Pelodiscus sinensis: one gene and its partner. The protein of the gene in region 2 purifies or fractionates together with the protein of the main gene of each other region. This does not show direct contact. Links are inferred from orthologs where the notes say so. Each region holds a gene or a part of one and is shown on either strand. Other genes may lie near its edges.

Region 1 (3,905 bases), on a different chromosome or scaffold from region 2:
TACATCTCTGCTCTGAAGTTCTCACAAGAACATAAGAATCAAAAACAAGACGACAGAGTGAAGGTTCCTCAGACTGCTTAGAGAGGCAAATTTTAAAGAAAGAGAGTGAGCTTCAGGCAGATGACAATAAGCTGTTCCAACCACAGAAAGGGACAGAAGACACAAATCTAGGATTGAGGAAAGACAACAAAGGTTTGAAGAAGACAAAAAGATAAGAAGCAGAAAATGAATAAGAAGAGATGAGACAGAGAGGGTAGGGGTTAAAGTTTATGTAGGACTTTCTATGAGTATTGTGCTGATTTTATATATTCATAGACAGGAAGCCAAAGGAGGATCCCAGTAACATTAAGTCACAAGAAAAAAGAAAGATGATTTTGGCAGCAGCTTTACAAACAGAGAGAGAGAGAAAGAGAGGTCAGACAAGCGATTACTCTAATAAAGCCAGAAAGCAACCAGGATATGGATAAGGATTTTAGCAGTCAATACAGGACACATTTTGAACAAAGAAGCATCAGGTGTTTCCACAACACACTTAATATGGGGCAAAGAAGAATTAAAGGTCACAGCAAGATTACCAACAGGGACACAAGAAAGTGAAGTTATCAATGGGAACCAGGAAAAAAAAATTAGAAAAGATTAGGTCTTCTTATCAGTAACTAGAAAAAAAACCCTAGTTACTAAGGTGCTGCAAGACTACTTGTTGTTTTTAAAGTTTTTCCAGTTACAGACTAACTCTGCTACCCCTCTGAAGCTTTTTATCAGTAAATAGTTACAGTACATCCCTCATTATGGAATGCAAGATGCATATGGCTGGACACTAAAGATATCAACATTAACTAAATAAATTGAAATGCACAGGGAGTATGGAAGTGTCATGAGTATTCAGGGACAATAACGAATTTTTAGATGGCAACGAAGTCAGAAAGAAGAAAGTATACAGAAACAACAAAAAAACTAAAGAACAGTAGCAAACTGAAAAAGAGGTATGGAAAATTGTTCAAAGGAAATGGAGTTGTCAGCAACTCTATTTGTACAGCACCCTGTCTATTCAATAAATACAGCATCCATGTGCAAAATATTGAAGACAGAGAAATATCAAGAGGACTAAGTCATCAACCACATCAAAAGCAACAAGAGAACCCTTCTAGATGACCCATCCTCTTCCTCCATACCCACCATATCAACACCTCCACAACCCAACACGTTGTCACATGTACTTCTACCAGTGCACAAAAGACACTCTCCCCAACATATATACAGGCAGTCCCCAGGTTACATGGATCCGACTTACATCGGATCCCTACTTACAAACGGGGTGAGGCAACCCCGCACTAGTTGCTTCCCCCCAGCAGACCAGGGAGACGCGGAGCGGCTTTTCTCAGCAGACACCTCCGCTTGAGAATAAAGGCCTGAGGGAAGTGAGGTCTGGGAGAATAAAACTGAGCTCTGGAGAAATGTTTGGCTAGAGTTTCCCCTACAATATGTACCAGTTCCGACTTACATACAAATTCAACTTAAGAACAAACCTACAGTCCCTATCTTGTGCGTAACCCGGGGCCTGCCTGTACCAATCAAAATCCAGGACTATGCAGCACTTGAAAGACGAACAAGATGGTTTATTAGGTGATGAGCTTTCGTGGGCCAGACCCCTCAGATCTGAGCAAGTGGGTCTGGCCCACGAAACCTCATGGTCTAATAAACCATCTTGTTCGTCTTTCAAGTGCTGCACTGTCCTGTGTTGTGTTTCAGCTGCCCCAGACTAACCGGCTGCGTCTCTACCACTGCGCCAGCCAAGTGGCCCTGACACATCCCCTTGCTTGCCTCCCAGCACCCCCCCCCCGGCCCGATCCCCGCACACGCCGCCCCCAGACGTGGGCGTCCCCTCGCCCGGCTGTGCACCCGCAGGTGATCCATCGCCTCTCGCTCACGCCGCGGAAGCCCCCCCGTGCGGCACCAGCCCCGCCGCGGGCTCAGCTCGCTCAGAGCGGGGAGGCTCGCGCCCGCCGGATCCCCGCGCGCCAGCGAGTGGGAGATTTAAACGCAGGAGCGCGCGGGGCGGGCGAGCGGGCTCCGCTCCCTCCCCCACCCCCACCCCCGCTCTGAGGAACCAGGGTCGCCCCGTCCAACGGGCCTGCCTCCGCCCCTCCCCCCGCACAGGCCCGGCCTCCCCCTGCAGGCCGCGGCGCCGCTGCTCTCCACACACACAGGCCCCAGGCCTGCCCGCAAGCCCCGGCCCCAGCCTCGCTCCCGGCCCCAGCGCGGCCCGCTCCTCCCCCCGCCAGGAGACGGGGCCCGGCCGGGCCTCACCTGTCGGCAGCGCCAGCAGGCCCTGGGCAGCAAGAGGGTAACGGCTCCTCAGCGCGTACAACCAGCCTCTCGCGGCGCCCCTGCCCACGCCCACCGACCCGCATTGGTTACTTTGCGCACGTGGCCGGCGTCCTATTGGACCCACGTCCCGTCCGTCAATCGCCCCCCGGGGGCGGAGTCTCCCATCAGGCGGGAGTGCAGACCGGGTGGGAGGTGCGGGCCGGGAGTGGGAGGGGCTGGGGATGGCTCCTGGCTACCTGGGCTGCGCGCTTAGCCCACGCGCCCTGTCTCGTGGTGCTCGCTGGCCCCGGGGGCAGCCCTTGGTTGGTGGCTGCTTCCACCGCTCACGTTCCTTGGAAGGCTTCGGTCTGCTCGTGTGTAGCTGGGCTGGTAGAGACAATGGCGCTTCTGGCAGCGAATACTGATGCTCACCATTCAGTCCCAAGCATTTTTGGCCAAAGTAAAATCATGGACCCATGAGCACTTTCACCTGGCCTGGCAAGCAGGCGTCTTCCTGCCTGTGAGGTACCAGGTTGCCCCAATTTTACTTGTAGAGCTAGAGCAAGGCTTAGCCCTCTCCCTTGTTCAAGAGCAATACAACAGTAAGGATGAAAAGCAAGAAGCTGGAATCGTTGAAAAGATCTGGCCAGGGGCACGCAGGACACGCTATGCAGACAGGTTCATGGCACTGGGCAGCCCAAATACAGAGGTGAAAACCAGTGTGCCCCAATGTGGCCATGTTGCACTCCAGCAAAAAGAAGCCTGCAGGCTGGGCACTCAGCTGCAGCTGCTCCTAGCCAAGTTCCTAGGGCTCTCCCAGAGGCTGCCTTGCCCCTCCCATTCCCCTCTCCTCCAGGACTGCCCCATCCCCTAAAGCTTCCACCTCTGCCCCACTCCGTTGAGGAAAAGTGGAGGGTTGCAACCCTATGTACCCAGAATTTTGTTGCTCTTCCCTTCCCTTGACTATCAAAGAGTGAGGGGAAAGTGTGCAGCTTGGGAGCCTTCTTCTCACTCCTGGCTGCCCAGGGGAGGAGCAGAGGAGATTCCACACAAGCTGCACACTTCCCCTTGCTCCCTGATGGTCGGGAAAGAGGAAGAGCAGCAGCAATCCAGTATGTGCAGCTGCCTTCTGCCACCCTTCCAAAATGACACCCTTCACTTACCCATACAGCACCCAGCCGCCTGCCCTGACCCCCCCAACCTCAGCTCCAAACCCTGCCTGATTCCTGCACCCCCAACATTCCCCTGACGAGCCCCCATTCTCAACACCCACCCCTTATTTCTGAACCTCCCAAACATCCTGCCCTGAGCCCTCCACACCCTCCGCTCCCTACTCTAACTTCCCACCCCAGCTCCCTGCCCAGATTCCTGTACCCCGCAAACTCCTTTGCCCATAGGTCCTGCACACTGTAACCCTTACACCCTGAGTGCCCCCTCCGGGGAGACGTGATATGACAGTACCTGTACGAAGAGGAGGTTACTCACCTGGACAGTAAGGCTATGTCAACACTTGTGGCTTCTTGCGCAAGTACGGCCATTCCTGCGCAAGAATCCACAGAGCGTCTACACTGCCCGCCCGCTCTTGCGCAAGGAAATTT
Region 2 (3,905 bases):
TTGGGGTTTGAGCTATACCTACTGGATCTGACTAAACACTTTGCTTTCAGCCCTGCAGCCTCTGGAATTCAATGAACACACTGGTGTGTAATTTTAAAAAGCCAACAAATGGGGGGGAGGGGGAGAGCAAGAATTAAGGCCTACCCCTTTGCTCACAAAACAGACTAGACTAGAGTCTTCGGGTATGTTTTTTTCTGTCATAAAACATTATTTTAGTTTTTTCAAGAGCCACCTTCCTTCTGCTCTGTTGTTGAAGTAACTGCCTAGTCACGTGGACCAGACATATTACAGATTCTGTTAGAATTCAGCATGGCCTATTTGGATTTGGGGACCACTGGCCTGCTTCCTGGGGGTAGGGAAAATTCAGCCTTTCTAGAAAACATTTCTTCTTCTTTTTTTTTTTTTAAATGTGGCATCTCCCCTAAGTTGCAAAATATCTGCTGGGTCACCAGAATAAACTGTTAGCTCAACGTGCGAGCAACCAACGACAAAAGGCCAAGAGCATGGAGAAGTCTGTGGGCTTCTGAAAAAAAAAATCTACTGGAAGAAATTATACTTGACACTTTTTCCATGTTTAAAGGCGAGAGAAAGGAAATTGAAGATTTCTCCCTGTGCTGTAATTATTATCTTTGAGAAACTGGGCTATTTTCCTCAGTTCAATTCCTTTAAACTACACCTTGGCCCAAAATGAGAAAATAAGCCCTCCTTCCCATTTAGAAAAATAAAACAATTTCTTTTTAAATATTCAAAATTTTAAATTAAAAAAAAGGATTTTGGAGTGAACAAAAGAGCAGTGAACTGCACAGTATCTTTAGCAAGATCTCAGCAATTCACCCTCTTGGCCCACACCTACTTTTTTTCCTTTTTTGTTTGTGTGTGTGTGTAAACTTACTTCCAAATTAATTTAGACAAAGATGACATGTAAAGGTGGATCACCAGAACGGATTCATGCCTAGCTTTGGGCAGAGATAATTGTTTCTTCAATTTAATTTCACATTCACCTAATTGTGAGGATAAACCTCTCCCCCAGCTCCCAGTAAGTTAGCTGTATCTTTGCAACGAGAAAAAAAATAAGAGGAATTAAATCATTGTATTACCTTTGCTTTTTAGGCACTGAATGTTCAATTTCTAGCTGTTTTCCATGCAGTTCCACTTTCCCTAAAAACAAAATGTGTCTTTTTTAAAATCTAAGTAGGGTGGGATGCAGAAAGCTTTGGGCCTCATTCTTGCCCATGGCTCTTTTTTAATGCCAGTGGCCTACACAGACCAACTGCATTTTCTGATTCCTCTGCGAGGGCACTTTGTGAAATACAAAACTGGTTTCAAGCTGGGGGGGAAGGCATGAAGGATAGGGGCTTGTGGGGAGGGAAATGTGGGCTAGGGCTCTTGGATTCCTTCGCTCCCCCGGGCTGTGTTTGGACCAGGGAAGTCTCTGCTTCAGCAAAAGGGAAGAATTAAATGGGCAGCTCGAGTCTTTGCTGCTGCTTTTGTGTGGGAAGCTCTCTGGGGCAGAATTGTGTCACACAAGAGAAAAAAAAATGTCCCTCCCTGGAACGAAGGGGTTTCGCCCTGAAACCACGGGGAGAGCCGCCCTGCCCCTGGTTTTCATCTGGGGGGCACAGGAGGGTTTGGATTGGGGCGCGCCTGGCATCCTCAGAAACGTGTTTGCTTCCCTCCTAGTTTCTCTCGGGGAGAACAGCATGGCGACCTCCGCGCTACCCACAGCCCACATGCCCCCAGCAAGCCCCAGCTTCGAATCAAAATGGCTCAGTCCAACGCCCCCCTCCCCCACCCCGCTGCAGACGGGACCCCCACCCCGATCGCGACCCCCCACGCCTTGCGGGGAGCCATGCTGGGGGGCGGGGGCTGGCTGCTGGGAAGCCCCGAAGGGCCCAGTGCTGCTGGAGGGAAGCGAGGGGCTGGATTCAGGGGGCCCCCCGCCCGGTTGTGGGGGGCTCTGGCTGCAGGGGGGAGGAAGAGAGGCTCCCTGATTGAACGCAGGGGAGAGACTCGGTCCGGCCCAGCTCTTTGGGGGGCAGGGAGGGTGAATCGGGGATTTCAGGTCCCCACTAGGGACTTGGCTGGGGAATCCCGGGTGCTGGCCCCGCGTGGCCTTCGCGGCCCCCACGCGACTCGCTGCGGGGGGGGGGCAGCTTTGTTATTTGGGCTGTTGGGAGGCCCCGAGAGACGCCAGAGGATCCGGCCCACTCGCGAAATGGGAGGGCCATGCCTGAGTTGCGTGTCCACCAAGGCGATGGACGGGGGTGGGGGGCAGGAGAAAGCAGGGAAGGGGGGGACTAGAAGAGCAGCCCCCCCTTTCCTGAGTGGGGCTATTTCTGCGGGGCGGGGGAGGCTAAAAGAGATGTGGTGCCGCACCAGGAGGAAAGGGGGGGGGGGGGGGAGAAAAGCTGCTTACCAGAAAAAGTTTCGATGGCTTTCATGGCCCATTGGTCATCGGGGCAATCCACAAAGGCATAGCCCGATTTCACCAGAAACTGGCCACTGAAGGAGATCTTGTGCTCATTGAAGACTTTCTCCAAATCGGCTGGAGTCACGTTTTCGTTTAGGTTCCCAATGTACAGCTTGTTCATGGTTGAGCCCCAGCGATGTGGCTGGTAGGTGGGTGGGTGTGAAGAGGGGAAGGGGGAGGGAGGGCTCTGAGGGCTGGGGAGGGGGGGGACCAACTTTTCTTTGCGGATTCTTGGTGGGGGGCGGGTTTGGCACGTCCACCCCCCGCCCTTTTTTTTTTCCAAAAAAGGGGGAAAGTTCCCAGTTCAAACTGGAGCCCAAGAGCTGGGAAGGCGAGTTGGTTTCCAGGGGGGGGTCCTCTAGGGAGGGGCCGGGGGAGGTGGGATGCCTCGTGCTTACAATGGGGGCAGGGGGTGGGTTCAACTGGTATGGCGGGCTGGGGAAAAGTGCGGCGGCTGGTTCCTTCCAGCCTCCAACTCCTGCGAGTCGCGCTCGGAGCCCGCCTCTAAATAAAATCGACCTGGAAAAATGAGTGAAAATGTTTGCAAGAGGAAGCCACGTGGTGGGGACCAAGGCCCGGCCCCTGGAGTGGGAGGGGCATGCGGGCTGGGCAGGCCCTGGGTGGTGAGAACAAAATTTACTATTTTATTTACTATTTCCCAAGGTAGGCTTTAGAGTGGGGGGGGGGGCACCCCCCCCACTTCATCTCCGTCTCCTCGCCCCCCTCAGTCTTCTCTCAACATCACCCCCCCCCACACACACAGCTGCCCCTTTCCCCTCCCCTCCCCCCATGGCTTCCAAGGGCTTGAATGGGATTTGCCCGGTGTAAACTTCTTAATCAAAGGGGAAACGTGGAGTCCCGGGCTTTCCGTGGGCATGGTAACCCACCTCCCGGGATCAGTGGGGGGCCCTAAACACCACTCGATAAGAAGAGATTCTTTGGGAGGGACAGGAAGATGTAACCCTGCCCCCCCCCTTCTGTTGGAGGAGCACTGAGAAGGGAGGAGAACTGAAGCCACAAAAGGAGGAATGGGGGGAGGGGGCTGGGAGAAATTCTCCAGGAACTAGGTTGAGGCAGGGGGGCAGATCACGTTGCCGCGACTGAGAAGGGTGAATGAAATCCTTGCTTCTCGCTTCCCCGCCCCCCGTTGGTTTTCGCAGGGTGCGGGCGTTGAGAACCGGAGGGGGAGGAGGGAGTAAGGGACAGAAGTGCACATGGTCTTCCCCTACCTCTCCCCTCCAAAAGGGCGCATGTTTGGATCTGCCAAGAAGCCAGAGTGTAGACCCCACCCAAAATCCTAACCACATGGGGGGGGAGGGGCCGGGAATTGCTGAGCATGAAGGGGATTCCCGCGCCCCCAAATCCTGGCCACATGGGGGGAGGGGCTGGGAATTGCTTAGCATGAAGGGGGTGTCCCCCTGCGTCCCACAATCCT

Evidence for each region.
Region 1: the proteins of IGF2BP1 (region 2) and ELAVL1 purify together in Homo sapiens (co-immunoprecipitation; 3 studies listed by BioGRID and IntAct, with this or other methods). This does not show direct contact. The link is inferred for Pelodiscus sinensis from reciprocal best matches to the Homo sapiens genes IGF2BP1 and ELAVL1.

The regions. Positions count from the first base shown.
Region 1 is NC_134729.1:30,214,479-30,218,383, reverse strand, and holds the start of ELAVL1 (ELAV-like protein 1), read right to left. Parts: upstream 2,443-3,905; 5' UTR 2,308-2,442; intron 1-2,307. UniProt on the Homo sapiens protein: RNA-binding protein that binds to the 3'-UTR region of mRNAs and increases their stability.
Region 2 is NC_134739.1:14,417,927-14,421,831, reverse strand, and holds the start of IGF2BP1 (insulin-like growth factor 2 mRNA-binding protein 1), read right to left. Parts: upstream 3,004-3,905; 5' UTR 2,592-3,003; coding exon 2,417-2,591; intron 1,159-2,416; coding exon 1,098-1,158; intron 1-1,097. UniProt on the Homo sapiens protein: RNA-binding factor that recruits target transcripts to cytoplasmic protein-RNA complexes (mRNPs). This transcript 'caging' into mRNPs allows mRNA transport and transient storage.